Caenorhabditis elegans: one gene and its partners. The protein of the gene in region 2 interacts with the protein of the main gene of each other region in a pairwise test. Each region holds a gene or a part of one and is shown on either strand. Other genes may lie near its edges.

Region 1 (5,506 bases), on a different chromosome or scaffold from region 2:
GAAACATATTTTGTATAGGAATCTTTAAAATATACCTTTCATAGCTGCCGATGAGCACTTTGAACAAGAAAATTCATTCAAAAAATGACTAATTTTTTAATACGGTTTTCATAAACCTGTTTTTTTTTGAACATATCAACAAATGATTAGATAATTGAAAAAAATAATGTTTTCGTCGGTTGTAAGTTTCTTAACAACACACAAGTTTAAAACATATTTGTGCCAGTTTGTCTCTAATATGACTCGAAAATATGAAACTTTTCTAAAAAAACACTAAAATGTATAAAACCGTGTGATTTAACGTAATTAGAATTAGGAATAAATAATTAATCAATAGTGTCAGAATTGAGCTTAAAATTCAGTAAATGTGAAAATTGAGCGATTTTTTGTTTCTAGTCCATTCCGTATTATGAAAAACAAAACATACACCACAAAAACATTTTTTAATGCAATTTAACTTTAAAAAACATTTTCATGATTTTCAAAAAATGGGATTTTTGAAAACATTTCTGAAAATCTCAAAAAGCCCATAGCAGATTGCTAGTCGATTTTTCAACTTTCTTCTCCCTGTTGCTCTTTGTTTTGAAGATCAGAGTAGAATAGTAGTTACAGAAATGCTTTAGTCTTTTCAATCACATATCAATACTAGATTTCCGGCGAAAAATTCGAAAATGACCCTCAAACCAAGTGGTAGTCTGATCGCAATGAAAACTTCTGAATAAGACAAAAAAAACTGAATTTAAAAAAATCAGAACTTGTTTATTTCTAAGCATGGCAAAACAAATTTATCTTCTAAAAAATACAAATAAAAGCATTTCTCACACGACAAACCAAAGACATACTAATGTTGCGAAACATTACTACAACATGAAACTATTCAAATATATTTAATTGTCTGAAAATTTACTATGCTAAATCTTTAATGCCCAACAAAAAAACTTAGTTAAAATATTTTCAAGTTTGGTTTTCAAACCAATTTAGGAAATATGTGAGATAATTAGGGTTTTCAGAGATTTGGAATGAAATCTGTGTGCACAGTTTCATGAATTAATAGTCAATGCTGAAACTTCAATGAGCTAGCTCAAAAATTTGCACATTGTGAGCCCTTTGCTGTGGAGCTCATGCTGCCTTCTATCCTCTTCAAATCATTTCCGGTTTGAAAACAGACACCCATCTGCAATAAACGGTGCCGACCGTGGATATTGCACATATGATCCCTTGCTGCCCTCTTGTAAACTCTATACACCGTATTGCAACGTCATTCAGAAAATGTTTTATTTTTGGTACAATATTGTATCTGACACAATCACAAATCTAAAACTTTGACCCTATCAAGTATGAAGAGAGAAGGTAAATCGAAAAAAATATAGACATATGAAAAAAAAGAGTAGCATATATTGGAAAAAACAGATGATCCTCAAGTAATACTGGACAACATGAAAATGTTTAAGCAGGAATGACAAAATTGACCGTTTTCATAAGAAAGCCTAGATGCCAAATACTAATTCTCAGCAGAATTTAGCGATCAGGTGAGATTTGTGGGGATGTCATAGACGTCGAATTAAAGCTATCAGTGAGATTTTGAAGAATTAATGTTACTCGTGGATCCAGTTCAGGGAGTGGTGTTTCACTTTTGATTGGTACAACTGGAGCTCCAATACTGTGTCGGTTTGGATCATGTGTTGCACGGTGGACGAGGAGAGTTCTTGATTGGCAGAATCCTTTCCCACAGATTTCGCATTTGAATGGCCTGTCCTTTTGGTGGATATACTTGTGGTCTCTAAGATGATCCTGACGACGGAATGCTTTTCCACAAACATCACACGAGTATGGTCGCTCATCAGTATGTGTCCTTTCATGGATCAGGAGGTTGTAAGACTTGGTGAAGTGACGATCACAATATTTGCAGATGAATTCCTTCTTTGGTCGGGCTGCTCGGCCAGTAGTCCTTCCACGTCCAGGGATCATGAACCTAAAACTAAATAGTTGAGATGATACAGTATAAAATTTCTTATCATCATATCGTACATTATGATACAAGAGCTTACCATGGTTGATCGTAAGGAACAAATGGTCGAACGGCTGCAGTAGTGAGCGTCGGGGACATTTTTGGAGACACACTTTCTTCTTTGATCTTCTGTTCAGATTCAATTGAATCAGCCATGTGAGTGAAGTCAAATTTTGCTTTCTTGAGATCGGTGATCATTGGAATTTCTGGATTCATAGCAAGCAGCGCCATTTTCCTCTGCTGCAGAAAATTTTGGAGTTGGAGGTGTTGTTGTGCAAGCATCATTCGAAAAACTTGTTCATTTGATTGAGGAAAAATTGATGTTGGAACTTGTCGTTGCCACGGAAGCATTTTTGTGTGTGCGGGAAGGGCTAGTGTTGATTCCAGCTGAAAAGAAAACAATTATTTCAAATTGATTTGAGGTCGCAAAAATAGCGGAACGAGCAAATACGATTTGAAAAGAGGGAAAAATGATGATACCGTTGGGCAATGTAAGAGAGCAGAATTCAGAAGAAGGAGCGATAGTTATTGTTTGCTCCTTTTCAAGAGAAGTTGTCACTTTGTTAACGAGTATTATCGTCTTATGGGGTAATCTACTACAAACAAATCTAAAAGGAGGAGAGGACTGAACAGGCGGAGCACAATGTTGCGGTGGTGGTAGGGATGACTGTCAAGAAAGAAGGAGGATCACTTACAACTCAGTGGGATACTTTGACTCTATGGTGCCGCTTTTTTGGGAGGAGGGCGACTCACATTTTACACCACGCGTCATCTATGAATTTTTATAGACTCGCTAACACTTCTGAATTTTGGAAACGGCGATAACGAATGATTGGAAATGGAAGAGGGGCGAAATTGAAAGAAATTCTTTGTGCTGGTCGGTAAGTAGAAAGGTTTTGATGGCTTGTTGATGCTCGGGCGCATGATATTATCAAGTACACGGCGGCTATAAAAACGGTTGGCTTCCGTGCTTCGGTCCTACATCAAAGGTAGCCGACGTGCACGGAGGTGTTAGGGGAGTGTTTACCAAACAGTAGAGGTGTATGTGACTAGAAGCTATCTATCTCATTTGCAAGTTATGAAATTGAAGAAAATGAGAACCACATTTTCCATATTGACTCATAGAGAAAACCAGCAGAAAAGAGTCGAAAAGTGTAGAAAAAGTAGAAAAAAGTAGGGGAAAAATGAGAAAAAGGGAAAGCCTTTTCGGGTGAAGACTCGCGGTGATATGCAAACATTAGACATTTTCAGAAGGAAGAAAGTTAGCAGAAAAAAAGAAAAAAATCACAGTTAAATATGGGCCTCTTCTATTGACAATATGATGATACTGTGACTTTGACTCTCCCCGTTTTTCTCACTCTATTTCGGCGATGTGGAAAGAAGAATGGTGCCAAAAAAGAAACTTTGGTATCAATGGGGAAAAACGAAAGCGGACAGGGAGCAGAATATCATTCTCAACCTATTGTTATGATAAAATCGTATCGCGAGCCACCTATTTTCCCGCTTTTAAACATCTCAAAAATTTTTTGCTTCATGTATAATAGTTTAAAAACAAGAAATGATACAAATTATGATGCATGCTGGCCACATAAAAAACAGTAGAACCCTCTTCCGTACGGTTGCAAAACACAATTGAAAAATGTGGGTAAAACGGCGGGAAATTTGTCATTGAATCATATTAGCGGTTCAGACTAATACTAATACAAAATTTTATATGCACTTTTGTCGAAAATTTGGGCACTACAAACTGTATAAAAGTTTGATCTTAATTTTTCAGCTTGAAAATGATTTTTTTAACAGATTCTCCAATATGGAATTTCCAAAAGTGGTACTTTTCAATTTAGTTTTCACAGAATGTGCTCGAATGAGCACTGTCTAACTTAGCTAGCTAGCTACTGTGTAACGATAAAACTGTTGAGTTAAGACAGTTTTTGTTAGAGATCTTCAACAACTCACACAAATAGTTGAAAAATTTGCAGAACCAAGTTTTCAGAACATACAATATCGCCTATACTTGGTAGAATGGAGGAACTGAGTGGCTTCCCAGAAGCAGACGGAGGCGGCCACCACCTCGTGTTCAGCTCGTCTTCTCCTCCGACACGCCCACTGTCTTTGCTGCTGCTCTCTCGGCGGGCGCTGGTTGACTGACTACGGTAGGCCCTGTGCTGCCGTGCACCGCCTACTTTAGAAGTAGAAGTAGATCTTTGAAGATTTCATGACACCCTTTTCAAAGAAGTTTTAGACCTAACTATACTTTTAAAAAACCGTGAAACTGTCTGGAGCGATAAGAAACATAAAAAGCGCCTTTAGGTCTGGATAAAGTTTTTCTAGACACACGGGAACCGAATCTATAGAGAAATTCAAAATTTTTGATTAGGTAACTGTAGTACACCAAAAACATAAGTGACATTTTATAACTTGACTGATGACAACTTAGGACATCTTGCACTATTTAGATAACATTTGCACGACAGTTATACACCTTTCTAGCTACTCGTTAATGATGAGTTATGGAAGTAAACTGTCCTATTATAGTGAACAGAAATTTTGAAAATACACATTAAAATTTGACATAAAAGAGAATGACTTGGAATATGGAGTACCGCGCGGCAGAAAAACCGCCCACTTTTTTTTGAGCAAACCATTTTTCTTGGCTATTCTCCGTTTGAATTTGGTTTCAAAGACGACGACAACTTTTTATGAAACCTATCATGTTGGGGTGGTACGTGTTCCTTTTATGACTCTCACTACATAAACGTTCCCTTTTGGTGCAACATGCCGACTAATGATAATTGACTATTATCTTTGAAAACACTAGAGGTGAGTAGATGGGATGATAGTTTAATGATAAAAAAGACTTGGAAAAAATGAATCAAAATTCTATTTACCTGAAGATTATCCACCGTAGTGATGCCAAAGTCAATCACAAAATGAAATAAGGTGTGAGTCAATGATGATTTCCGGAAAAGGTGTGCGAATCGTGCAGAACAAGGTTCTTTCTGTGTGAAGAAGAAAAAAGGGTAATGATAACAAAAAGCGTAGGCTTCTATTTAGTAGGTAGTTTTAGGGGTACAATTAATCCGCTTACTGCAAGTTAGGGAGGAGCGATAATGCTGACAAGATGCAGTTATCATGAAGTTTTTGACGCCAATGTCTCGGTTTTGAAACAAAAAGGACATATCGGCTTATAGGTATGCGAAACTTTGTCCCAAGCAGTGGAATGATGGGAGGAATGTGGAAATTTTTGTAATTTCCAAGTAAATTTTTAAAAATTCTATTATGTAATTTCCCATGTCGGTATCCTCATAACCTCTGTGTTGAAGACTCCAACCGGTGTGAATTGTGCATTTCCATTAATCCCCTCCTTGAAGAAATGATACTCCCGGCTCTCATCCCAAACAGAACCCCCACTGTTTCAGACAAATAAACATCTTCCCTTTGCGCAACACCCCCGGGTACCGACTCCCAGAGTATTAGAATAGGAGGAGAACTTTTTGT
Region 2 (7,270 bases):
CTACCCTAGCGATTTAAACCAAGCTTAATCAAATGTTAGTCTTCTAACACTTTTCTTCAAACTCGTTGTAATCTAGAAACTCTATGATCAAATGAACAGTAAGTGCACATTAGTTTTTAAAAATCGTCACGTCTTTAGCTCAACGATAATTATCAGGAAATTTAGCTTACTAAAGTACATATATTTTGATGAATTTACCCATAACATGTCATCGACACTACATCAACACTACGCTTTTAAATCAGCTGCACATGCTATAGGTTGCTCATTAGGTCACCAAAAGTATCAAAACATTCCACGAGTTTGTATCTATTTTGAGCTTTAAAAATTAACTTCTGATGATTTATCAACAACAGATTATCAAAAAAAACCACATGGTTTTTGTGCGGTTGGATACTCATTCTGAAACAATCGAATTTGCTTTTGAGGAGAGACATGGATGCAAGGACTACCGTAGTAATTATCCGAACTTATAAAATACGTTTAGCTTTTTAAACTATGTAGCGCACTTTTCATAAACATGAATGTTCAATGCTTCAAACCGAATCAGAAACTTAAGTAATAAATCTAAACAAAGTTAATAAAAATGTTTTGGAAAGTTGATTAAGTCAATGCGAAAACAAATCATTGAAATTTTGAAAAAAAAGCCAACAAACAAAAAAAATAGTGAAAAAAAACTACGATCATAATTCATAGCTTTATCGTTCTCCCAAACATGAATGGGTTAGAAAGCAGTATAATTAAAAACTCAAGTCTCGAGGTTCTGAAATTCCCACTTTTTTCAACATTCAGGGACAAAGACCACGGGAAAATATTTCAAAGTTTTCATGAAGAACTCCTTTGATCTGAAAGTCTCAAACGTGTGCGTCATTGGCTAATTGTACTTCAAGGGGGCTGGTTTTAGATGTTGGAAAATAAGCTAGTAATTACAGGTAAAACTAATATTTTCTCGTTCTGGGGAAGGAAAGAAAAAGTGTGGAAGTTGCGAGGAAATAGTTCACTTAGCTCAGTAAATTAAATTGTTTCTTTTTCCGAGGAACTACAACCCGTAGCAAAAACCTATTTAGTTATTGGAATAGGTATCACGAAGGCGTTGACAAAAAAACACACCTACTATATTTTAATGCTGAATTTTCAAGAAGTTTCCTCCATTAATTTTTAAAACTATTTTTATACAATTTACACAATTCTTTGACGGAAACATTAATTATAGAGTTACATAAGTCTTTTACAAGGGTTCGAAAATCTTTTGAAAACCAGCTAGTTGAACCGTTTTCTTTTACGAGGAAAACAAATCTTATTTCAATCAAGGTGACGGAATAATTGAAAATTTTCTCGTTTTTAAACCAACAAACCCAACACAAAAACGTAGCATTTAGGATTATTTTTGAATCGAGACAAAGTGTGAGAATTTTTAAGATTTCGTGATTTTATGATTCATGGACAATTAAAAATGGAATCATTGAGATCAGATTATCGACTGACATTCAATTACTTATTCGCGCAAACGTGAATATTTGAACAAGTTCAGAACACAAGTTTTGGCAAACATGTAATGAAATTCAAGATTTGGGAAGGAAAATACATTATGAAATATATATATATAAATGGAATATATTGTTTTAAAAATTAAAAAAATCTTCATCAATCTTCATCATCTTCCTCTTCGAAATTTCCGCAAAACGCGTTGAAGTCAGTTGTGTCCATTTCTTCTGAAATGAAAAAAGAGAATAAAAAAAAACAAGAATGCAAGAGCAGCAAAAAGTTCGAAAGAGCCAAGCCATTTGGTTTGTGATTTATGACGTGGCAACTCAAACTTTTCTGGATTTTTGCTTTCTGTGCGTATTCTGGTGTACTGCCACATCAGTGTTGCTTAGATTTTCGAACAAGACAACAGACAATAATTGGAAACGCGTTATATATAATTATAGGGAAACTACTCAATAATTAAACATCATGAAATTCGAAGAAAAAATTCTATGAAAATAGATTTGAACAATCAAAAATGAATGATTGAGAAACTTTAAATACAGAAAATTAGAGAAACGTGAGACATGTTTCCCTGCCTAAGCGCCTATCTATTGCCTGTTTTATGGAGTTTTAATGGAGTTTTCAGTTATAGCCGGAATTTCAGTGAACGGAATAGATTTACGCATGCTTTAAGACAGTAGGTAGGCATATGTGTAGGCACGAAACAGGCACTTATCGCCACGAAAGAAGGTAGTTTTTTTTCATCTATATAAATTATTTGCTTAGAGATTTCGGATCTGAGTTATGAACAAAGTCCGATTTGAAAAGTTTTAGTGTCAAACTTAATGTTTATGCAACAAAACAACTTGTTAAAATGTTTACTAGTCACTATCTATTTTTTGAAATTTCAGAGCTATTACTGCGTTTTCCAGATTGAATCTTTAAACTAACCATTTCTAAAATGAATTGGCGGAGGAATGAGCCCACGTTGCTCATAATGTCTCAAGTAATTGCACAAATGTTTGAGCCTCCGTTCCTTACTTCTCCGGTTTTGGAACCAAACCTGAATTACTCTCATGCTTAAACCGGTCTCCAATGCCAATTTGGCTCGAGCATGTTTCGACGGCTTTGGTGTATTCGAGAACATTTCATTCAGCACGTCCAACTGAAAATCATTATGAAAATTTCCGCTTTCTTACATTGTATACCTGATTTTGTTTGATTGTCGTTCTAGGTCCGCGTCTTTTTAGCATTCGTGAATCATCATCACAGAAATCGGAAAAGCTATAATGCTCAAAGTTGTATCCATAAGCGTCAACCTCCTAAAAATTAAATATGCAGTACATTATTCGGTATTTAATCCCTTTAAACTTTCAACGAAAAATAAAGTATACCTTTTTAACTTGGAAAGCTGATGAAAAAGATTCATCAATTGGATATGGGGCAATTGGATTTTCTGTCGAACAAGATGGTATATCAACTGCAGATCCTATTGCTCCAGGTGCGTTGTCATCCATTTGAGGAGGATAATGTGACATACAGGATACGGTCATCATTGTATCGTCAACAAGAATTTGTTCCCCCGGTGATAAATGCCGTCCACACAAAGAGCAACAATGACATTCCACATGGAACACGAGCCCAGCCTGTAAAGTTCTTTGAGTCAAACTTTACCGATCAAAGCCCCAAGCTCTATGCTTGTGCGTCTAGCAGGATCCCGTCAGAGCAAAGAGCAAAGCGTAAAAAATGATTACATCTTTCAAAACTATTAGTCAAAGCTTTGGTTTTTTTTTTAATTTGAAATTGTAGGCTTTTTGAAATCTTTCGGGCATTCCTACTGTTTATACAAAAGTAGTCAAAAATTTAATTGATAAAAAGTTGACAACTTTTTGTATAGGTTCGCTCAAAGTTTAATGTTTTCTTAAACATTCTGACCCAATTTAATACCTTCAGTTTATATACCATATCTGTCGGTGACACTCCTTTCTTGCAACCCGCACACCGATGAATACTGTGATCCCTGAAATAATGTATTTTTATTAATTCCAAGAATATTTTGCTAAAGCTTACTTATAATAATGTTGACTACAATAAATTCTCCCATTTTTCCAAAAACACTTTTCGGCCAGAGGAGACTCACATATTGTACATTTGACACAATTTTCGTGATACGATCGATTGTCCATCTGAAAATAAATGATGGCTGAAATCTTGAAATGTTGTTCGAACTATAGAAGCAAAAGAAAAATATTCAAGATTTTGAGCAGACTGTTTACAGAAGCAAAGCAAAGAAAGTTTGAAAAATCCACAAACATCAGCAAACTTACTCGATAAATATAACGATCATAAATTTGCTCATTGCAGCAATTACATTTGTTCTAGAAATATTTAAAAAAATTATAGAATGTTAGACACAAGTTTCACTAGAGATCGTATCGATAAAATGAGATTGGAAAATAGAATGAATACCAACCAAAAGTTTACACGATTGACTTTCAGAATCTAACTTTCAGAATTTTTAGAAGATGCGGTAATTTTACTTGACTCTCTGAAAGTCGAACAGAAATTTTCCCTCGTGCGGATTTTGTATAAATTTCAAATTGGAATTTCTTGACACGCAGAAGTCTTTGTAAAAACTTTCAAGCAAATGCAATGTAAGTTTTCGATTGATGTTAATTTCATTTTTCTGACTCTCAAATTGTTACTTTTAAATTTTTTTAAAGAAAAATTGTTTTCTGATGAAATTCACAACTGCTCAAGTTTAATTACTCACCTGATTTTCATGATCAACTCCAATTGAATCAATAACCATACTAATCGCACTGAGAGGCTTTGACTCTAACATTTCCATAGTTCAAATGAAATAAATCAGAAGAACAAATAACAGTGAAATTTAGAAGAAAATGCGCGAAATTGTGGCTACTCACTGTAACAAATCACCCGTCAAGAGCCAGATGTCATGTAGGCGTGGCATGCCAATCCAACAGGAGTCTCTAGACCCTGATCGATTATTAATGTGCGCTAAAACTGGTGTCTCCAAATGGTGACGATAATAGATGCATTTCTTATGAAGCTAGAAAGTGTGTGTAAGGATAAGCACTAAAAAGTTGTCTAGTTGGAACGGGCTCTCTCTATCGATCTCCTGACGGTCACTTGTGTTTTTCGGTCGATTCATTATGGGCAATGCATTTCGAATGAATTTGTTGTTTTTTCAAATGTTGTGTGAAGAATATATGGAAAGGACGTTGTAAAGTTTTATAAAAATTTGAATTTGAATAATCTTGTTCTATTACTCCATAGTTACAAAAAAAAGGAACGGAACGGCGGTGGAGAGTTTCTGACTATGCTAATTATTGGAAAATGTTATACTTGAGAATTCAGATTTTCTATACAACATTAAAAATTATGGTATGGACGTCTTCATTACTGCCAGCCTACTACTTAAAAAAAGCTTTTACAGTGAAGTTTCACCCAATCTATAGTTTGGGAGGTAAAATTCCGCGACATTTCAGTAGGTGGGTGCGTGTCTTGGCAGGAGGCATGCGTAGGTATCCTTAAAATCATATCGAATCATTTGCTCCAACTCGGCATTTGGAGGCAACTTCCTGCCAACAATTTGGCAACTTATTTTAGTGGCACTAAATAAGTTGCCAGGTTGTTGGCAGGAAGTTGCCTCTGAATGCCGAGAAGTACAAAAACTATCAGTATGTATTCATTGTTTGTTAAAAATTGAAATGCAGTCCAGAGAGTTTTCAAAATCATTTCCAAATTGTGAGCGTAACTACTCAGTTGTTGGTGTGTTTCGCTTATTTTCTCCTTTCAACTGGGTTTTTTTTTCAATTTATGTTCATTGATATTTCATGAGTTTTAATTTTCGTTTTGATTGACAGTACGGAACTGTCACAAGATAACAGTAAACCTGTCAATAATGTTAAATTTGATCTTTGTAGAAATGAAAGTACTAATTTAAATGTAAATATTTGCATTTGTGAAAAATAGAAGCCAGAAAATGAGAAAATGAAACCAAAAGTCATTTTCTAAGTAAAACGCGATATTAGAGGCTGCTGGGCAGAATTCCAAGAATTTAGAAAATTGCAGAAAACATTTGTTTTGATAAATGTCTTTAGGAATGAAATCTCAGAATACGCCAAGTTTTGCATATTTTATTATCCTTTTACAAAGTAATCAACCAGATTGTATTAATTGTTATTTCGCAACTAACAAAACCCCTCGTTTCAGTGCTCATTTTGAGTTTTAGTCAATTTCTACTCCCTTATTTGCAACTAACCATGCATATAACTGATAAAATAGGCAGATGATAAACTTGTCACTTTATTTGTTTTACAGAAATTAAAGACCCAAAATCACAATGAATGCTCTAACTTCTGCGCGTTTTTATCAAGAAACAGACTGTGTGTGATGACACACCAGCTCGGTGATAAATCAAAGAAAATGAGATCATTTTTCGTAGTTTTCCTTGAATCACAGAACTGGGCAGAAGCCTTATTCACGTGAATATGAGCATGATACGGTATTAGGTACACTTTCTGAAAAGATGAAAAATTCAATTTCTGATGAAACACATTTCTTCCTGATAAGGTAGTGAAATGGCCCCAAAAGATAAAATTTCAAAATGAAACTTTTTATAAATTCTATATTTTTTGGTGGTTAAAATTTTAACAGAGAAAGTCTGAATTTATATAAGATAACACCATTTCTATCTTCGCCAACTACTCCGGGTACCTGCAGGGCAAAATTAAAAAAAAACACATCGCTCCTCATTTTGATAGTTTATTCCGAGAGTTTTAAGATGTAATTTTTATCCATAAAAATCCGAAAATAGCACAATCGAAGATCATATAAACTGAAGATCTACCCAAATCTACAAACAACAAAATAAACGACAAAAATATGCAAAACAGGGAGACGCTTTCTAACAATTGATTTCAAAATTTTAAAATTCTAATATTTTGCATTACACCAAAAAATTACAGATTAGTATGAACTTTAGATCAAATATTACCAACTGGTTAACATTTGATTTGAAATTTCGTGGAAAATTTAAAACTACCTAAAGTTGCCAGAATTCAACATATCTTTGAAAAAGTTCTAAAAATGTTTTTAGATTGAGATTTAAATCTTATTTATGTAATTTCTTCTTTTTTCATTCCTCGTTGTCACAAAACAATTTGAAAACTATTCCTACTGACACAAAAAACCATGTGATTTCAAATAAGATAACTACAATCTACGGTTTAACAAAAAATAATTATATTTTTGCTTGACTGATAAGAGCCAAAAAGCTACTGTTTGATAATAGACATAAAACACATGAAAAAATGAAGAAAATAAAATTAAAAATCTGACACCACCATAAACGGGCCAATTTGTTGCATCGTTCTCGAATACATTCTCATTGGAAATTCAGATTGACGACCTCGACACCATTATATGTTCAGTACCTACATGGCAGTTGACGTGCACATACAACACTAGCCATCAGTTGTCTGTGAATACATTATTACATAACAGCTGCTATTTTATTGGTTCTTGAAGAACAATGAAACTAATGTTGGTTATGGGGCGAGAATTATTATCAGTAGTATCTGTCTAAAAAAAAAAGCAAAATGTGGGGTAAAAAGTGAAATAAAAGTCCCATTATCAGACGGACTACAAACTTCAGATAATAGAAACTGTATAAAGATACATGCAACGACTTTAATTTTAGTAGATTCAATCAAAAATGAATTTCACAATTTGTTCATTCCTGCTCCTTATTCTTGCAAGCTTCTGTTTTTCT
Region 3 (8,885 bases), on a different chromosome or scaffold from region 2:
GAGACTCGCACATAAGACGCTATATTTATTTTTTGTTAACTTAAATTATTTTTGTTGTTGATTGTTCTCTAAATAAAAAAACAGCTCAGAGAGAAGATTAGGCGCTCGTCCACATCTCCGACGATAGTCAACCCGAACGAAGGGAACTATCTTTAATTGTCAGTGATGACGTCATGTCGTCAAGAACTCGTCATAGCTGTGAGAATTGAACCATTATAGATTTGGACATTAGTTTAGGTTATATCCAGTACACTAAATGGTACATGATAGACAGTGTACATTTACAGATTTATAGATTGTCTCAGTGACTAGTTACCGGAAGAGGAGAGGAGAACATGTGGCGATGTCTTTTGGATCGATATTATTCCGTCTGAAAATTGTTCACTAGGGGGACTGCCGATTACCACTTCACATGACGGAACATGTTAGTTAAAATATTGGCTTTTATACACATTTTCAAAATAGCACCTGTATTAGAATATTCAAGAAAAACCTATTCCATGTTATTGCTCCACGAGCAGAAATGCGATACACTGTGTTGCATTCGTAAGTGTTTACCATAAATGTTACCTTATTAATATCAAATAGATAAGAAAAAGCATGTAGAAGATATAATCACGTGTGTCAATCGACCTTCTCCACCCATTTTTGATTGTTTAGATGGTTAGGTACCCGCTAAAAAAAGAATAATATAAAAAGGAAAAGACGAACAATTTGATTGATAATTCATTTGATTGTTGAGAAGAACTAGAAGAATGGACAAATCGACCAAAGATTTTATGGATTTGAAGAAGATTGGTGGTGACGATGAAAGGGAGCGACGTTTCAGTGATGGTTTGTTCTTTTTTAAATGAAAACTATATGTTGATTAATTGCTGTATTAACCCTGAGAATTTACCCAGATTTTTGTCAAAAATACAGTGCCCGGTCTCGATACGACAAATGTTTGTGAATGGTGTGTACCTTTGAAGAGTACTGTAGATTGTCAACAAAAGAAAATATGTTTTACAATTAAATTTCAACAAAATAGAAAAATCAATGAAAATTCCGCAGAAACACAAGTTTCTAACTACAATACTCTTTAAAGTCGCACACCTTTTCGAATTGAACAAATGTTTGTCGTTTCGAGACCGGACGCCTTAGTTTGGTGTAAAAATCGTAAGGTTTTGCGTCTCGGTAATATATTTCAGGTAATTTTCCCCTCTAAAGTTATTGATATTATAAAAATTTTCAGCATCTGATACATCAATGGATTGTCACATGGAATCTATCGGAAGTCGTCGCCGTGACAGTTTAATCGAACAATTCCGCGATTTTTTGAACCGATCAATGGATTTTAGTGTCAAGATTGATGATCCATTTGAAAAAGAAATGTATTAAAATTATATCGTTTTCTTGTTGATTTTTGTAATTTTATATGTTGAAATTGTAATTTTTTGTTTCTGTAAATAAATGTACTTATATTGATTCGAAAATTTTAGATTTAACAGTTTTAGTTTCACTTCCGTATTTAGAAACATGGATTTTTGAATCGAGACTTTGGAGAACGATAGAAGCAATAAAATATTATAAAACACAACACACATGGAATATTCGTTTAAACAGAACGAGAGATTCAACAATTAAAGTCAAACAACAATGGCATTATTTTATTGCTAACTAAAAAGAGATAATTGAGAATTGTTATCTTAGATATGAAACGCTAGGATATACTAACACACAGAAACTAAATTTGATGTTTGAAAGCGAAGGAGATTTAGATTTTTCGAGAAATTTTCTTAAAATTTCGCACAAGCTGATTTGGAATACTGGAAGGTTAAGGGAAATATTTGAAGATTGAACGGTTTTAGAAGGAAAATGCATATATAATATTGATGGCGGCTTTACCATCGAGAGCCTCGATCATCTCGATTGCCACGATATGACGAACGGGAATGATGATTGGAAGACGAAGAATTATATTCGGAACGACGAGAAGATCCTTCAGTTGTTTCAGAATTGTTGTTGTAGTTATTTCGACTAACAAATGGAGAATTGAAACGATTCGATGATGAATGTCCCCGTTGGTTTCGTTGATGGAATGAACGATTGCTGTAGTTACGAGGGTTACTGTAGTCATTTCGAGACCATCTTTCATCGTAGTTTCTGTTGGAAGAACGTTCACGTGATGTCGATCTTCTTGAGCTACTGAAATTAGAAATTATATATTGTAATGATGGTTAAAACTGATCTGATTTTGAATTTAACTGCTTAAAAATTAAAACGTTTATAATTTTTTAATGATTTTTTTTCCATATCTTACTATCGTAATAAATATAAATGAAAATTAAATTAAATTAAAGATGGGCTAATTATTTTTAAATTCCCTGGCTGAACAAATGTTTTTCAGTATAAAAAATATTTAATATGAAGATGAGTTTTTCAATTTTTAGGCCAAAATAAATTCACTAAAACTTCAAAACTGACTTAAAAACAGTTTCACCGTTATAAATAATTTTTTCGCGGAAAACGAGCTGAAAACGTTAAACTAGGCAATTCATTAACGCGAGAATTTGAAAATAATTAGCCCATCTTTTTTTAATTTTGCAAAATTGATAGGAAACATCAAAAGTTGTTTTTTTTTAATTTTCAGATATTTCGTAAAAACTCACACATTTTCATTATATTTATTCTCCAAAACGTTTGTCGCACTGAGAATTCGAGTTGGAAGCAGTGATGCAATTGGCGGATTCATTGGATCTGGAGATGTAGCTGGTGGTGGAACAATTGGCTCATATGGTGAGAAGATTGATGGAATTGGAATTGATGGTAGAGTACTGAAAATAATAAAATAATATGGAGTACTGAATCTTTCCAAAAACGGGCAATTTTCAAAAAATTTCAAAAAACTTTCAAAAGGAATTAATATGTAACCTTACGGGAGAAAAATATTAATCTAAACTATTTACGTAAGAAAAAAACATCAAAACGAAATATTCAAAAAGGTTCAATTTCATCAGTTCTTATTTTTAATCATTTCACTCATCTGTTCGATTATCATTTTTCAATAAATCGAACTGTAATAGTGAGTTTATTTTTTTCGTCTATCGTTTCCGTTGAAGAACAATTTCCGCACACTTCCAGGCACGTGTGTAGTAGTTCAAAAATGTGTGTCACAAAGTGTAAGCAGAAGAAGAAAATGAAATCGGCGAAGAAGAATCTATCGACTCCTGGTACTGGTGGAAGTGTTAATCCCGAAATGAAGTCAATTTCACATTCGACAACAGCTCAATCGGGAGAGAAGGGAGCAAGCAAAATGGCAAAAGTTCCGTCCAAGGAGGTAAGAGAGGGATGGAAATATTATTAGAAGGGCGCAGATAAAAGTGGTGTTTGGCGGCGAAACCGTAAATTTAAAAAAAAATTCAGTTAGTTTCGCCAATTCTCAAGAGTTTTCAGGCATTTATTATTGGAAAATGACTTTTTTCAGAAGAGCAAGGGACCAAGGCAAAGTGATCGTGATGCAAAGGATGAACACAACGAGGCGGTGTCTCAACTCAAGAAGATTGCCGAAAAAGCTTCAGAAATGTCACATGGACCATCTGTAGCTCCACCAAGAAAACTGTAAGCACAATAATAACTAATTTCCCAATCATTCTCATTACAGTGACGCGAAACGCACTGTGACCGGAATGAAGGAAAGCAAAGATCCCGAGTATGTGACGCTGGATGACGATTTTCCGAAATTCGAGAAAGCAATACTGAAGGGCAACTCTAAAGAGGTGAGGAGTATTTATTTTTAGACTAATCTAAATATTTTCTTATTTTCCCAGGCTACGGAAACTCGAAAACTTGAGATAACGCAACAATTGTCTGTTGATGAAAAGAAGATTGCAGGAAGCAGCGAGAAAACTACTTAAAAACGAATAAAGCTTAATCTATGCAATTTTTACCTGTTATTTTCCTCTTTCGGTTGCTCTTCCTCTGTTTCTTCTTTAACTGGAATCTCATTTATTTCCATTGTAACATCATTCATAAGCACGTCTTCCACATCAATGATCTCTGGCTTTATTCTGACGATCTGCGACAGTTTTTGAGCAACTTCCGTATTGAATTGATGACATATGTATATGACGTCTTGCGGGAAATCATCGGTTCCACCAGTTTCGGAAACTTCTCCCGTAGCCACCGACGCTGCTTCTTCATGTTCTGAATCAGAATCGGACGACGAAGATCGGTTCGCATTGTATTGAGGAGCACGGCGAGTTTTCTGAAAATGTGTTTTGTAAGAATTGAAAAATTAAATTTCAATTAAAAAAAAATTTGGATGTCACTCTTGGTCGTGATGACTCCCGTAGATAATTTTTCTAAAAACTTACGTTAACGTCTCTCACTCGAACATCTGTGTCAAACGAGCGATCGACAGGAGCGCGGTTAACAGAATCCGACTTCTCCTGAATCTCATAATTACCCAGAAAACTTTAATAATTCAACAAACCCCAACTACAGTCTTATTCTCAATTGCTTCTAATCGAGACCACGGAAAGCATTTATTGATCATCTCGTTTATCATAGCATTTCGACGGCGACGAACTTGTTGAAATGTTGCATTTTTGTACACTGCCATGCTCGCTTTGTGTGTCTGGAATTCTTTGATTTTTTTTGTCAATTTCCTAGCTTTATTATAAATTAAATAAATAAAACTATACATCTTTCATATGAGAACTCAAATCACACTGTCTTCTGAATCCTTTTTCACATTCTCCAACTGGACATGTTAGCGGTGGAAGACTCGTCGTGTGCAGCTTCTCGATATGCTCTCGGCGCATATTTTTTCGAACTTCAGCACCAGTCATGCAAAGTTGACAAGCAAGATCCGAATTTGGGAGATCTGGATACGATCGATCCATCTGAAACTCATTTTTTCTTAATTTAAAAACTGCAACCTAGTTAGGATAAATGTAGATACAGGGTCAAAACTTATAATTTCAGTATGATAATCAATTAATTCAAATTAAAAATTAATATAACAGTGTGGGGGAAATGTTCATTCGATCTGAATATGATATTTATTTTTGAGAAAAAAACTCGAAAATTATCTCAAAAAGTGCAGGAAAGTCACCGTCAGGGCTGTAGATTTTTCGTTTTTTGTTTCGAAAAAAATAAGAATAATTCTTTTTTTTTCCTTCTCGAATTCAGATTTGCCTCAAAATGAAATATCATATTCCTTTTTTAAATTTGTTTTTGTAGATTTGCTGCACAGCCTTGTTCTCAATTTAATTTGTTTTCCTGTACATACCGCAGTTTTCAGCAAATCATCATAATCTTCTGGTGCTACATCAGCTGCCATGTGGGAACGAGTCACGTGTCCTTTTCGGAGAACTGTAAGATAAAAACTAAATTCGAATTTAGAGATTTCAAAAACTCACTAAAATCATAAACTATTTCTTCATTACAAACCGCACATTTCACTTTTGCAGCATCTCGTCTCTCTGGAACATTTGGATCAAACCATCCAATTAGTTTATCAATCGCTGACATTTCATCGTAATTTGCATTTTTTCCAGCTTTCTCTTGATTTTGAGCTGCTGTCATTGACTCGTTTCTTTTCTTCCTCGGTTTCTTTGTTTTATCAATAGATATATTATGTTCACTGGTTGTTGAATCAACTATAGCTTGAGCTGAACTTGATGAAGCTGGCTGAGCTGATGTTGAGGAGGCGTTGGGGCAGAGTGAGCTGAATATATCATTTTTAAAACGAGGGCTTTGTCGGAATCTAGGCATTGTTAAAATTGTATTTAGTGAATAAATACCTCTCAGAATTATTTGTTCTTCTATTTAAAAATGCAAATGGTGAAGTCGTAGAAGTTCCCGATTTTGCCTTTTTTGGCACTGGAGGAGATGTTGGAGTTACGACGGAACTTCTTTTATTCTTTGCACTATCAGTAGGAGTCTTTTTAACAGGTGAAGTCGGTGACACTGATCTCGGATCTCTTCCCCATCGCTTCTCAAGCACAGTTTCCATATCGTCAGTCGCTAGGGCGTATGCGTCTTCCACAACAACCGATATCATTTTGTCAATGTATGGGTTTACTGTCTTCTGAAGAAAAAAAACAATATTTTTAATTGTAGAAAATCGTCTCAAAACCTGAAAAGAGCGCTTGTGTCCGTGTTTCGAGCAATGAGCATTGAGCTCCTGTTGTGTGTAGAATCCCATATCACATGTGCTCTCTCCGCATGCATATCTCCTAAAATTATATATGAATTTAATAATAGAAATAACATTTAAAATCCTCACTTGTACTTAAAATGTTTGTAGAAGTGTGCGCCTTCCTCTTTCAGCGTTTCGCAGCACAATGGACACACTAATTGGTTCATATCTTAAAAATACGATTTCATAATTTAATCTCTGGCTGTGATTCAGATGATTGATCGGAAAAAGCGTATTAACTTGAATGATATGATTTGAATGATATTATCCAGCTTGAATGAGTAAAATTTATGTCTTCAGGAGTTTTTTCTCCATGTGGATCCACAAAGAAGACAAAATTAAATACCTTGTATGCTCACATTTTAAAAAAAGTAACAACTTTAGAAAAGTATTACCAGAGCCTTACCAATTGTGTTCTTGCCCATGGAAACTGATTAGAAAAACGAATGCGGGATAAAAATTAAGCCGTCAGAATTCACAAGTTCACTGCAAGAAGATGGGTGTGATATCACTTTACTCAATAAATATTTAAAGTGGAAACAATAAATGAAACTCTGTGACTGAGATACGTGAAGCGTTCACAAACTGGAAGAGGAATAATCGGGATAGAGAAAAATGAATAAAGAATTAAATTAGAGAAATTCAAATTGTATTTTTAATGAAACAATTGGGACTTGAGGAGTTGCTTAAGCTCTCGTTCCGTTCTTTCCTTCCTCCTCTTCGTTGTCTTCGAGATCTGGCATATCTGAAAATTTTTTATAATAAATAACATTTTAATACTACATTGGTTTTCTATCATTAACGAATTACTAATAGTAAGCAAAAAGGATATTATTGCACTTAATACTTACCGTCATCTTCCTCATCATCCTCAAGACCTCCGAAGTCTGCTCCGCCAGCTCCTCCCATCTGGGACATGTACTGGTTCAAATCGAATCCGTTCGCCATTCCACCGCCAATTCCGGCTCCGGCATCCTCAGCCTCATCATCCTCGTCTTCATCCTTCCATTTTCCAAAGTCAACCTTCAACCAATGGACCTTTCCCTTGTTTTGAAGAAGTCTTGGCCACCAGGCTGGGGTCTTCTTCTGAACTGTGATCTCAACGACGCGGGTTGAAGATCCAGTGTGCTTTACGGATGCAGGATCGATTTCGTCGAAGAATTCGAGAGTTGCTTCGTACTTGTCAGTTTTGCTGCTTCCTCTGAAAATTTACGAATTACGACTCATTCTATGTACCATCATGAACATTCTGTGAATATTTAGGAAGCAAGAAATATGCTTCATATCGTATTTAAACATTTAAAATAGAAATCGAAATATTAATCCGAAACGTACTGGAAGTGAAGCTTGTTTCCCTCTCCTTTCAGTTCCTCGATTTTCGCCTCATCAACCTCGATGGTCAGATAGACAAGTGATTCACGCTGGGCCCAGAGAACTGTTGGTTGCTTAGCCATGGTTTTTGCCTGTAATTCGAAAAGAGAACTAGACGGATACGAACAATAATCAATAAAATTCAAGGAAGGTGCACGACATATAAATAAGCGCACAGTTGAAATTAGCATGATTATGCAAATTGACGAAAATAAAGCCATCAGATGAAAATGTTTTCATATCACGGCAATAACAAGCAAGAATTGTCCACTTAATTTCTTTTTTCGATTGATTTTTCTCTTACAACCTTTTTCTCCTAAATACAAGGACTATTGGCCAAAATCGATATATTTTAAGTGCGAATGGCATTGAATATAAACGTAAATGGATTAGAAATATAAAGTCGCGAATGTTCTTCAGGAAAATTGCCATGGAAACGCATAATGAAGATGATAAAACGGCAGAAATTCAAATAATTCGAGAGAGTTCCCAAATCGCGGCGAGACCCAGTGGTGAAAGTGCGCGCGCCTTTGAACGAACACGTCTCCATTTACGAGGTTTTGGCTCATTTCAGCTTAATTTTAAATCGTTCAATGAACATTTTTTGATGGAAATATGGAAGCAATGGATTTTCTGAAGAAAAATTTGAATCGTGTTGACTTCCACAGCGTATAGTTGTTAATTTATTGTTTTATGCGTCTAAAATTGTTCAGAAACAAAAATGCAGTGTTCTATTTTCAGATGGTCAGCTTCTCATGGGTATCAAGGTCGTTACACCATCCTCAAGGGAAACGAGGACTAATTTCCACATTAATATGCCTGGCGTGTGTTGGAATTTTGGCATATTGCGTATCAACGAGCCACTCGATAGGTAATTGTTGTATTTGAGTGCAAAAATAATAGTTTTTTGTTCAGTTCTAATGTCAACTCTTTGGATTACGATTTTTTCGTTTTGCTCCCAATTCGCGTCTCTGTATTCCATGTCGATAACCGAAAAACCAACGCATAAATTTAGTTACGGATTAGCCAGAGTACCGGTTTTGGCAGTCTTTAGTACTACCGTGAGTTTTTGAAACACTAAATATTAAAAATGTATTCCAATTGGAATCAGTATTTTTGAGATTAAAAATAACCTTCTTCAGGTGTTGGCTCAACTATTTTCCATCTTTTTATCGAAGGAATCATTCGAGCACTTGTTATCCCCTGATCACCATGGTTCTCATGATGCTTCAGCGGCTCACGAACATGAAGTAGAAGAAATCGGCGGCTGGCCATATTTTGTTGGTTCTGCTGCATCTTCAGTGGCGCTGCTTCTCTCAGCATACGC
Region 4 (8,183 bases), on a different chromosome or scaffold from region 2:
AATTCAAAATTTTAGCTAGAAACCCAGAAAACCACGATTTAGAGGTAAAAAGTTACGGAGAATCCGAATTTAGCAGTAAAAATCTCCAAAAATCAATAATTTCCCCGAAAATTTACAATTTTTTTCCAGAATTCCCGCAAACGCAAGCAATCTCCACAAGCTCACTGGAGCGACGTTGATAATGTGGAGAATCTGGAGAATCAGGCGACCGCCGCACAACAAATTCCGGCAAAAAAACCGCGCTGGAATTCGGTGGAGCAAGAGCCCGAGCCCGAGGCTCCGCTGGAAGCCGTCGAGCAGCAGCAACAGAAGCAGCCGACAACTGACGGGCAGCACCTGCCGGATATTGTCAAAAATATTGGAGGATTCGAGATTCGTGTCATTCGAAGTCACGACCCGTCGCGCAGAATCTACACTTATTGATTTTTCCCGCCGCCGAAAAATCGAAAAAATCGATAATTTATTAATTTCTCTTGAAAAATCTCCCAAAAATCAATAATTTTACGACATTTTTCATCGATTTTCCCCCTGCGATTGTAATATTTCCCAATTTTTTACATTGTATTAAAAAATGCCAAAAAAACAATATTTTATTGATTTTTTTTTTCAACGATTTTTCAAAGTTTTTCCCGAAAAAAAAAACGAATGTATTAATAATTGTACAAAAATGTTTCCATTCCCCCCCCCCCCCCTGAGCCATTTTTATCAACGTTTTACCCAATTTTTCCACAATTTTCCACTTTTTCCTGAAAATTATCGATTTTTGTGTCATTTTTGTGATCTCTCGCGATTTCTATACAATACATATCTCGACCCCACGACTTTTTTTGTAATAAATTATTATTAATTCGCAAAAATTTGAATTTCCTTGGGTCTCACCACGATTATGGAGAATTTTAAGTTGCAAATTCGAATTCTCCGTAACTTTTTACCTCTAAATCGTGGTTTTCTGGGTTTCTAGCTAAAATTTTGAGTTCTTTGGGGTACGGTAGCACCAAAAATACGCAAACACCGAATTTCTTACGACAAAATGCACAGTTTCTTTACATTCCGAGTTAAAGCCCTAGAAAATGGGACCCCGAGCTAAAAAATGACGGGAAATTCAAATTTGACAGCAATATTTTCAAAAAAATCACAGAAAAATCAATATTTTTAAGAAATTGATTTTTTCCGGGATTTTTATTGATTTTTGAAGATTTTCATTGTTAAATTCGGATTCTCCGTCACTTTTTACCACTGAATACTTTTTTTCCGGGGTTCTGAGCTAAAATTTAAATTTTTCGGGGTACTGTAGGCCCGAAAATACGCAAGCACCAAATTTCTTACGACAAAATGCACAGTTACTCTAAATTTTAAGGTAAAACTCTAGAAAATAGGTTCCCCGGGTGAAAAATGGCGGGAAATTCAAATTTGACAATGAAATTTTCGAAAAATTACGAGAAAAATCGATATTTCGAAGAAATTCAATTTTTTCGGGGGCCCGATTTTTGGAGCCTGAACATTGAAATTTGGAAAGTTGTGCATTACCCCGAGAAAATCAAATTTTGAGCTAGAAGATCGGGAAAAATGGTTTAAGAGGTAAAAAATGCAGGAAAATTCGAATTTCTTGGAAATTTTACTTGAAATTTGATAATTGTGGGCGAAATAGAACGTTTTGAAGCTTTTTGTGTAGTTTTTTTTCGGTTTTCATTCAAAACTGTAAATTTTCGATCAATAATATGAATTCTACGTCTCTTTTCACTCCGGAAACCCAATTTCCAAAGCTCAGCTACCAAATCCTGAGAAGCTGTGCATTTTGTCGTAGGAGCTGCGGCGGTGTTTGCGTACTTTTGGCGCTACCGTACTCAGAGAAAATCAAAAGTTGAGCTAGAGACTCGGCAAAAAATGTGAATAGTGGGAAATTATGCGAGGATTTCGTTTTTGAAGTTGGTTTTCCAAAAAAAAAATTGATTTTTCGGAAAAAAATTTTCCAAAAAAAAAATTTTTTTTTTACAAAATATTGTTTTCCCCGCCGGGGTAACCAGAAATGAAAGCCGTAGAGGGAGAAAAATGAAGAAAGTGACCTTGAAAGTCCCTTTCTGCCATACAAAAAACGCTCCCCTAACCAGCTGCCCCCACACACACAACTTATTCCGAGGCACACGAGAGAGTACACACAATCAAAGAGACGCAGAAATGCGGCAATTTCGAGTGTTGGGGGCGATGAAGACGGCGGAGACCATTCATTTTTGCCATCTGATCACTTTTCCGATTTTTTCTAAATTTTTTTTTTTGACAAAAGTTTTATACAACTCGGTAAATAATTTTTGTACGTAGGCTTACTTTGAGGTCTTATAACTTTGGACTCAAATGAACTGTCAAATTTTAAAGTAAATTGCCTGAAAGATAAAGTTTTAACGCAAATTTTGGTAAAATTTCACCAAAATTCATTTGGTAGTTTTTGAGAAATTTAGGTTTTAATTGAGAAAATAAAAATGTTGAAAATTTTTTTTTTTAATTTTTAAATTTTTTTTTTTTGCATTTTCCAAAAGTTTAAATCAAAAATTTGATATTTTCTGAAAGAAAAATAAAAATATATTTAACGCTAATTCTGACAAAATGTCAAGCAATTTGCACAATTATTCTTTGAGATACTACAGTTTTACCGAAGAAATTTCATTTTTCAGTAAATTTTTCAAAAATTTAAAATTTAAATGGGTTTTCTGAAACTTTAGGGCAATAACACATTTTTTACAATAAAATTTTTTTAAAAAAACAATGAAAAGTACATATTTGTCAAGTTAGAAAATTTGAATTTTCACCAAAATTTTTTTTTAAACTTTTTTGAAATTTTTTTTTAATCCTTGAAAAAAATTTAAAAAGTTCAAAAAAATGTCTTTTCATCAGAAAATTTAATTTTTATTACAATTTGGTTATGTATATACTTTTATTAATATAAATTTATTGATATCCTCAACAGATATATGCTTTCAAAGGTTGAACTGGACATGGTGCATCGATCAAAAACTTGGACAGCTTATATCTCAGTTGTCATTGTTTTTATCAAAAAATCGATAACTAATAAAATGTTCATTATGAACTTCTCTATAACTTTGTAGTTGAGCACTTTTCCATATCTCCAAAATTAACAGAGATACTAGCCGTCAAAGTTAGAGTTAGACATGTTGCATCGACCTTTCCTAACTTTGACAGCCCATAACTCGGTTAATATTGAGCCAAAGGTTGTAAACTGACAAAATGTTCATCATGTTTTTCTCTATAACTTTGTTGTTTAACATTTCTCCCTACCTTTAATATTAACCGAGATATAAGCTTTTAAAATTTAATAGTACATTTTTCAGAATGTCCGACTCCCCGCAGAGCTGCAAAAAGCCGCGAACTCGGAAAGAAACTATTCAAAAGCGAGAAACACGAAGTAAGCATGAAAAACGACGAAGGGAAGAGATGAATGAAGTGATTTGTGAAATGTCGACACTTTTGCCCGAAGATATTCGGGCTCATAAGCTGCGAAGAGTGGATCAGAAGCCTCGTCAGCTGGACAAATGCTTTATCATTGGGAGTACTGTTGATATTATTCGGAATAGTGATTATAGTGAGTCTACAGATTCAAATTAGTAATAATATTCTAATTTGGAATTTTTTTTTAATTTTGAAAAAATTTGGAAAAAAATTTGAAAAAAAATTTCGAAAATTTTTTCTTTTTTTTTTGCAAATTTTTTTCCTAAATTTTCGATTTTCAAAGCTTTTTTCTTTGTTTTTTACTCTAAAACTCGGTAAAACAACTCTATTTCCTCCCGAGAAAAATATAAATTCAACCTATTACAGTAACCCTGATCCGTTTCGTGGCGGGACCCAAAATTTCAAATTACCTTCAAACCAAGGCATGTTGGGTGTCATTTTAAAGCAATCATTGAGCTAAACTCAAATTTGAAAGCCATTAAGCTGAAAATCTCGAAATTTTCGGAATTTTCAGTCAATTTCAATTTCCTCCATTTTCCAGAACCACCGCTGCTCTCCGACCCGCTCGTCCAGGATATTTTCAGCCTGACCAACTGTTTTATGGTTTTTCTGAACAATTTTATTGTCGTGGATATTAAGGGAGACCATCAGGCAGTTTTTGATATTGAAAAAGTTTGTTTTATTGATTTTTTTTCGATTTAAAAAAAAATTCAAAAAGCCATTAAATGGGCAGAGTTACAGGCCTCTGAAAATAATTGTTAGGCTTAGGTGTAGGCTTAGGCGTAGGCTTAGGCTTAGGCTTCAAACATTTTTTTGGGATTAGGCTTAGGCTCAGGCTTAGGCTTAGGCTTAGGCTTAAGCGTAGGCTTAGGCTTAGGTTTAGGATTAGGCCTAGGCTTAGGCTTGGGCTTAGGCATAGGCTTATTAGAAAAAATGGGAAAAAAAATTCTCAAAACATTTTTTTTGGAATTTAATTTTGTAAAATTTTCCAAATTTTGTCCCAGACGGGCGTGACAATCAAATGCACACTTTTTTAGTTGACAACTTTTTGCTAACCCTTAAATGGTAGCAACCTTTAAGCTTCAGTAACTCCGCCCATTTATTGGCTATCAAAAAATTTTCAACCGACAAAAGCTTCACCATGAAAAAAAATCTGCAAATTTTTTCAGTTGACAATTTTTTTCTAGCTTTTCTAGATTTGAAGATATTTGAGTTTATTTTTTTGAAAAAAAAAAATCCCAAAATTTTTTTTGTGGGATTTCATCTTTTTATAATTTTTAATTTTCCAAATTTTTTCCCATACAGGCGTCCCCAATTAAATGTTCCTTGTAAACAAAATGTCGTCATATTTTCGGGGAAATATTATCAAGGTCACTTTTTCCCAAAAAAAATTCGATTTTTTCGGACTGTGTGTCAGCTGACTTGTTTCAAGGTGAACTGGTGGTGGACCGGGGGTGGGGGGGGGGGGATTTGGTGAATCATTGGGATTTTTTCGGTTGGAAAATGTTTTATAACATTTTAGATAGTATAAAAATTTAGAAAGTTTTCGAAAAAAGTTTCAAAAAAAATTTTTTTTTTTGGACTTTTTCTGAAAAATTTTTTTTTTTTTGTTAAACTAAATTTTTTTAAAGTTAGAAATTCTAGAAATAAGTTGTAAACTAACAATTTTTGTCAAAATTTTTGCAAAAGATTTGAATTTTTCGCTAGTTGATAACTTTTTAGTAACCATTAAATGGGCGTAGCTGCTGCCTTCCGTAACTCCGCCCATTTCATGGTTATCAAAAAGTTTTCAACTAACAAAATGTTCATTTTGAAATTCTACACACTTTTTTAGTTAACAACTTTTTAATAGCTGTTTTAGTTTTTGAGATATTTAAAAAAGAAAAAAAAATTTTTTAATGAAATTTTTTTTTTCAGAAACGTATGATTGGAAAAGATATCCGATGTTTTCTGGACTACGATTCAACGTCCAAACTGTCATTTCTCACTTCCAAAGAAATGCTCAATGAGCTCCAACTCAAAAGCTTCATGGCGAAGTCAATGACGTGCAGAATAAAGGAATCGGCGGAGGTTTGGGATTAAAATGTTTTTTTCAATTCGAACAATTCGAAAAATTTAGCTTTAAAACTAATTTATTTGAATTTGGCGTGTAAATAGCTTTTGAATGACACCCATCATGCCTAGGTTCCCGCAATTTTGGGGGAATTTTCCGGGTCCCGCCACGAAAACTGGCAGGGTTACTGTAGTTTTGAATGAAACTAACTTTTTCAATTTTTTTCAAAAAAGTGTGATCACTGAGCTAACTTTGAAGAAAAAAATTAAGAAAAAATAGTGAAAACTAAGAAAGTTACAGATTTTCGAAAATTTGTGAAAAAAAATTTTTTTAAACAAAATTTTTTACCAAAAAAAACTTATTTTGTCAATTTTTTTTTAGCTGAGAATCACAATTTTACTCTCAGCAACCCAGAAAACCTGCAAAACCTGGTAAAACCAGTAAAAACAACCAAACTACAGTAACCCAGAAAGTTTTCGCGGCGGGACCCGAAATTTTAATCATTCACGGAATATAGGCATGATGGGCCTTATTTTGAAGCTCTGGACGTGCTTAATTTGAAAATGTACGAGTTTTGGCTCAAAATCGTGATTTTAACCAAAAAAATTAGTTGTTAAAAAATTGAAAAAATTTTTTTTTCCAAAATTTCAAAAATTCCTAGAAATTTTTAAAAATCAAAATTTTTCCAGAAACCCACGGAAACAGTTTTAGTCTGTGTGCCTGATGAGCTTCCAGCTCTCCCGGTTACTGTACCCAAGGCTCCGCCCATTTTAGCTTCGCCCCTTCAGAAGACACCGCCCCCGCCGTCGAGTTTGGAGGTGAAAAGCCCGATTTTGGCGGCACTTTTGAGGCGAAAAGAGGATAATTGTGTGAAAGTGGTAAGTTATTAATAAGAATTAATAGTTTGGCGGGAAATTTCAAACTTTTTGAGAAAAAAAAAATTGAAATTTTTTTTTTCGGAACTTTTTTTTCTAAAAAATTATTTAACACTATTTGTTGAATTCCAGAGCTCCCCAAGCTCCTTCCTCTCGCCGGGCTCCTCCACCTCGTCTACAGTACCCAATGTGAAACCTACAGTAACCCGCCGACCTACAGTACCCACAAAACGGAAGAGACTACGATCGATGAATGTTATAGTGGAAAGTTATCCGTTGGATGATGAGAAGTCGGATGGAAATTCACAAAAATCGGCGAAAATTGGGAAAAAGAGGTTTTTTCTAACAAAAAAAAACGTTAAAACCTACAGTAATCTACTCCAAAATCCATGCGAGACCCTTAAAACTGAAAATTTCAAATTTAGCTCAACAAGACCTTTCAAATGACCCCCATCATGCCCGGGTTCAAATTTTCACAAATTTATTCAAAAGTTGGGTCCCGTCACGTGGGGTACTGTAGCACTGGTTTCAGCTGTGTCAGTGACATAATTTCGGAGTTTTTCCGAAGCTCTAAGCGTGCGAAAGTTAAAAATGTTAATAAAATTCTTAACATGTAAGATTTTATTGATTTTTTCAAAAAAAAAAAATTTTCTAATTTTTCTGAAAAAACTTGCAAAACTATGTAAATTTTCAGCCAAACTAGCACTATTCCAACTCCGAGAAGCACTTTGAGCCCAACTACAGTAATCCATCCGTCCACGTCACTAATTCAACCGATTCCGACACTTGGAATGAACCCATTTGACATGTTATCACCTGGTTATCAAGATGTATGTGAAAATTATCGATTTTTAATGGTAAAATCAATAAATCATCGCTAAAAACTAGTTTTTATCAATAGAGCGCACTTGCAACACGGTTTTAATTCAAATTATCGACTTTTCAACTACAGCTACTATCAATTTTCCAGATTTGGCTCCGACTACAAAGTGAGCGACTTCTGCTGGAAAAACGAATTTCAGCGAAAGAAGGGGAGCTGAAAAACCTGATGCAATTCGTTCAAAACCCCCCGTTTTTGAATTTCCCCCAATATATGCTCCCGCAAGGGCCACTTGGTGCTCAAAATCAATAGTTATGGGTTTAAATGAATAAAATAAATATTTATTTACAAAATTTGATTATTATCGACGGGAATTTGTTTAAAATACTGCAAAATATACTGGGAAATTTCCGGAAAAATCATTTCGAAGTTAATTATCATTTGAAAAACCGCCGAAAACTGTGAATGCGCAAGGAGAGGTTGCTGGCGCATTTCTCTTGTTGCTTGCGCACTCTGCGATGAAATTAATTTATTTTATTTTTTCATCATTTTCGTTGGGTTTTCATCATTTTTCAGCGATTTTTTTGCAATTTTTTTCAAAATTCCCATCAAATCTATAGTTTTTCTCACAGGAAATGGACTCGGCCGACCCTCAACTCAATCGATTCCTCCAGCAACTGCAGGCGGAGACGCAGCGTCAAAAATTCACCGAACAAGTGCACACGCTCACCGGTCGCTGCTGGGATGTGTGCTTCGCCGACTACCGTCCGCCAAGCAAGATGGACGGCAAGACTCAGACCTGTATTCAGGTAAAAATTTGGGAAAATTTGGCAATTTTCTGCAATTTTATGGGAAAATTGAAGAAAAAATTTAAAAAATCCAATTTTTTTCCGTTTCAGAACTGCGTAAACCGCATGATCGACGCCAGCAACTTCATGGTCGAGCACTTGTCCAAGATGAACGGAGGACACGTCTA

The links.
Region 1: the proteins of mec-3 (region 2) and odd-2 interact in a two-hybrid assay, tested with the Caenorhabditis elegans proteins (one large-scale study listed by BioGRID).
Region 3: the proteins of mec-3 (region 2) and ztf-8 interact in a two-hybrid assay, tested with the Caenorhabditis elegans proteins (one large-scale study listed by BioGRID).
Region 4: the proteins of mec-3 (region 2) and hlh-33 interact in a two-hybrid assay, tested with the Caenorhabditis elegans proteins (one large-scale study listed by BioGRID).

What each region holds. Positions count from the first base shown.
Region 1 is NC_003284.9:6,158,127-6,163,632, forward strand, and holds odd-2 (Protein odd-skipped-related 2), read right to left. Parts: upstream 2,402-5,506; 5' UTR 2,360-2,401; coding exon 2,049-2,359; intron 1,973-2,048; coding exon 1,519-1,972; 3' UTR 1,251-1,518; downstream 1-1,250. UniProt on the Caenorhabditis elegans protein: May function as transcription regulator. Required for morphogenesis and function of the digestive tract.
Region 2 is NC_003282.8:10,457,446-10,464,715, forward strand, and holds mec-3 (Mechanosensory protein 3), read right to left. Parts: upstream 4,423-7,270; 5' UTR 4,322-4,422; coding exon 4,244-4,321; intron 3,849-4,243; coding exon 3,798-3,848; intron 3,657-3,797; coding exon 3,541-3,656; intron 3,491-3,540; coding exon 3,418-3,490; intron 3,117-3,417; coding exon 2,865-3,116; intron 2,793-2,864; coding exon 2,679-2,792; intron 2,636-2,678; coding exon 2,422-2,635; intron 1,713-2,421; coding exon 1,645-1,712; 3' UTR 1,371-1,644; downstream 1-1,370. Other genes in the region: ugt-43 (glucuronosyltransferase), read left to right, coding at 7,214-7,270. UniProt on the Caenorhabditis elegans protein: Transcription factor. Specifies differentiation of the set of six touch receptor neurons (TRNs).
Region 3 is NC_003281.10:5,267,116-5,276,000, forward strand, and holds ztf-8 (C2H2-type domain-containing protein), read right to left. Parts: upstream 6,357-8,885; 5' UTR 6,355-6,356; coding exon 6,275-6,354; intron 6,225-6,274; coding exon 6,125-6,224; intron 6,077-6,124; coding exon 5,790-6,076; intron 5,714-5,789; coding exon 5,406-5,713; intron 5,359-5,405; coding exon 5,276-5,358; intron 4,887-5,275; coding exon 4,686-4,886; intron 4,619-4,685; coding exon 4,475-4,618; intron 4,431-4,474; coding exon 4,356-4,430; intron 4,247-4,355; coding exon 3,930-4,246; intron 3,921-3,929; exon of another isoform or gene 3,897-3,920; coding exon of another isoform or gene 3,810-3,896; intron 3,759-3,809; coding exon of another isoform or gene 3,644-3,758; intron 3,601-3,643; coding exon of another isoform or gene 3,467-3,600; intron 3,320-3,466; coding exon of another isoform or gene 3,146-3,319; exon of another isoform or gene 3,124-3,145; intron 3,065-3,123; exon of another isoform or gene 3,011-3,064; intron 2,817-3,010; coding exon 2,652-2,816; intron 2,188-2,651; coding exon 1,884-2,187; 3' UTR 1,640-1,883; downstream 1-1,639. Other genes in the region: gro-1 (C2H2-type domain-containing protein), read left to right, coding at 1-15; ZC395.5 (Ovule protein), read left to right, coding at 756-834, 1,235-1,380; ZC395.4 (uncharacterized protein), read left to right, coding at 3,146-3,319, 3,467-3,600, 3,644-3,758, 3,810-3,896; Co-chaperone protein daf-41, read right to left, coding at 6,874-6,932, 7,039-7,388, 7,523-7,641; toc-1 (similar to Transporter Of divalent Cations), read left to right, coding at 8,174-8,227, 8,300-8,429, 8,474-8,619, 8,701-8,885.
Region 4 is NC_003281.10:1,852,051-1,860,233, forward strand, and holds hlh-33 (BHLH domain-containing protein), read left to right. Parts: upstream 1-3,341; 5' UTR 3,342-3,342; coding exon 3,343-3,592; intron 3,593-4,000; coding exon 4,001-4,131; intron 4,132-5,376; coding exon 5,377-5,529; intron 5,530-6,201; coding exon 6,202-6,390; intron 6,391-6,519; coding exon 6,520-6,722; intron 6,723-7,081; coding exon 7,082-7,217; intron 7,218-7,357; coding exon 7,358-7,519; 3' UTR 7,520-7,553; downstream 7,554-8,183. Other genes in the region: pqn-82 (Prion-like-(Q/N-rich)-domain-bearing protein), read left to right, coding at 130-423; ddp-1 (Mitochondrial import inner membrane translocase subunit Tim8), read left to right, coding at 7,843-8,016, 8,107-8,183.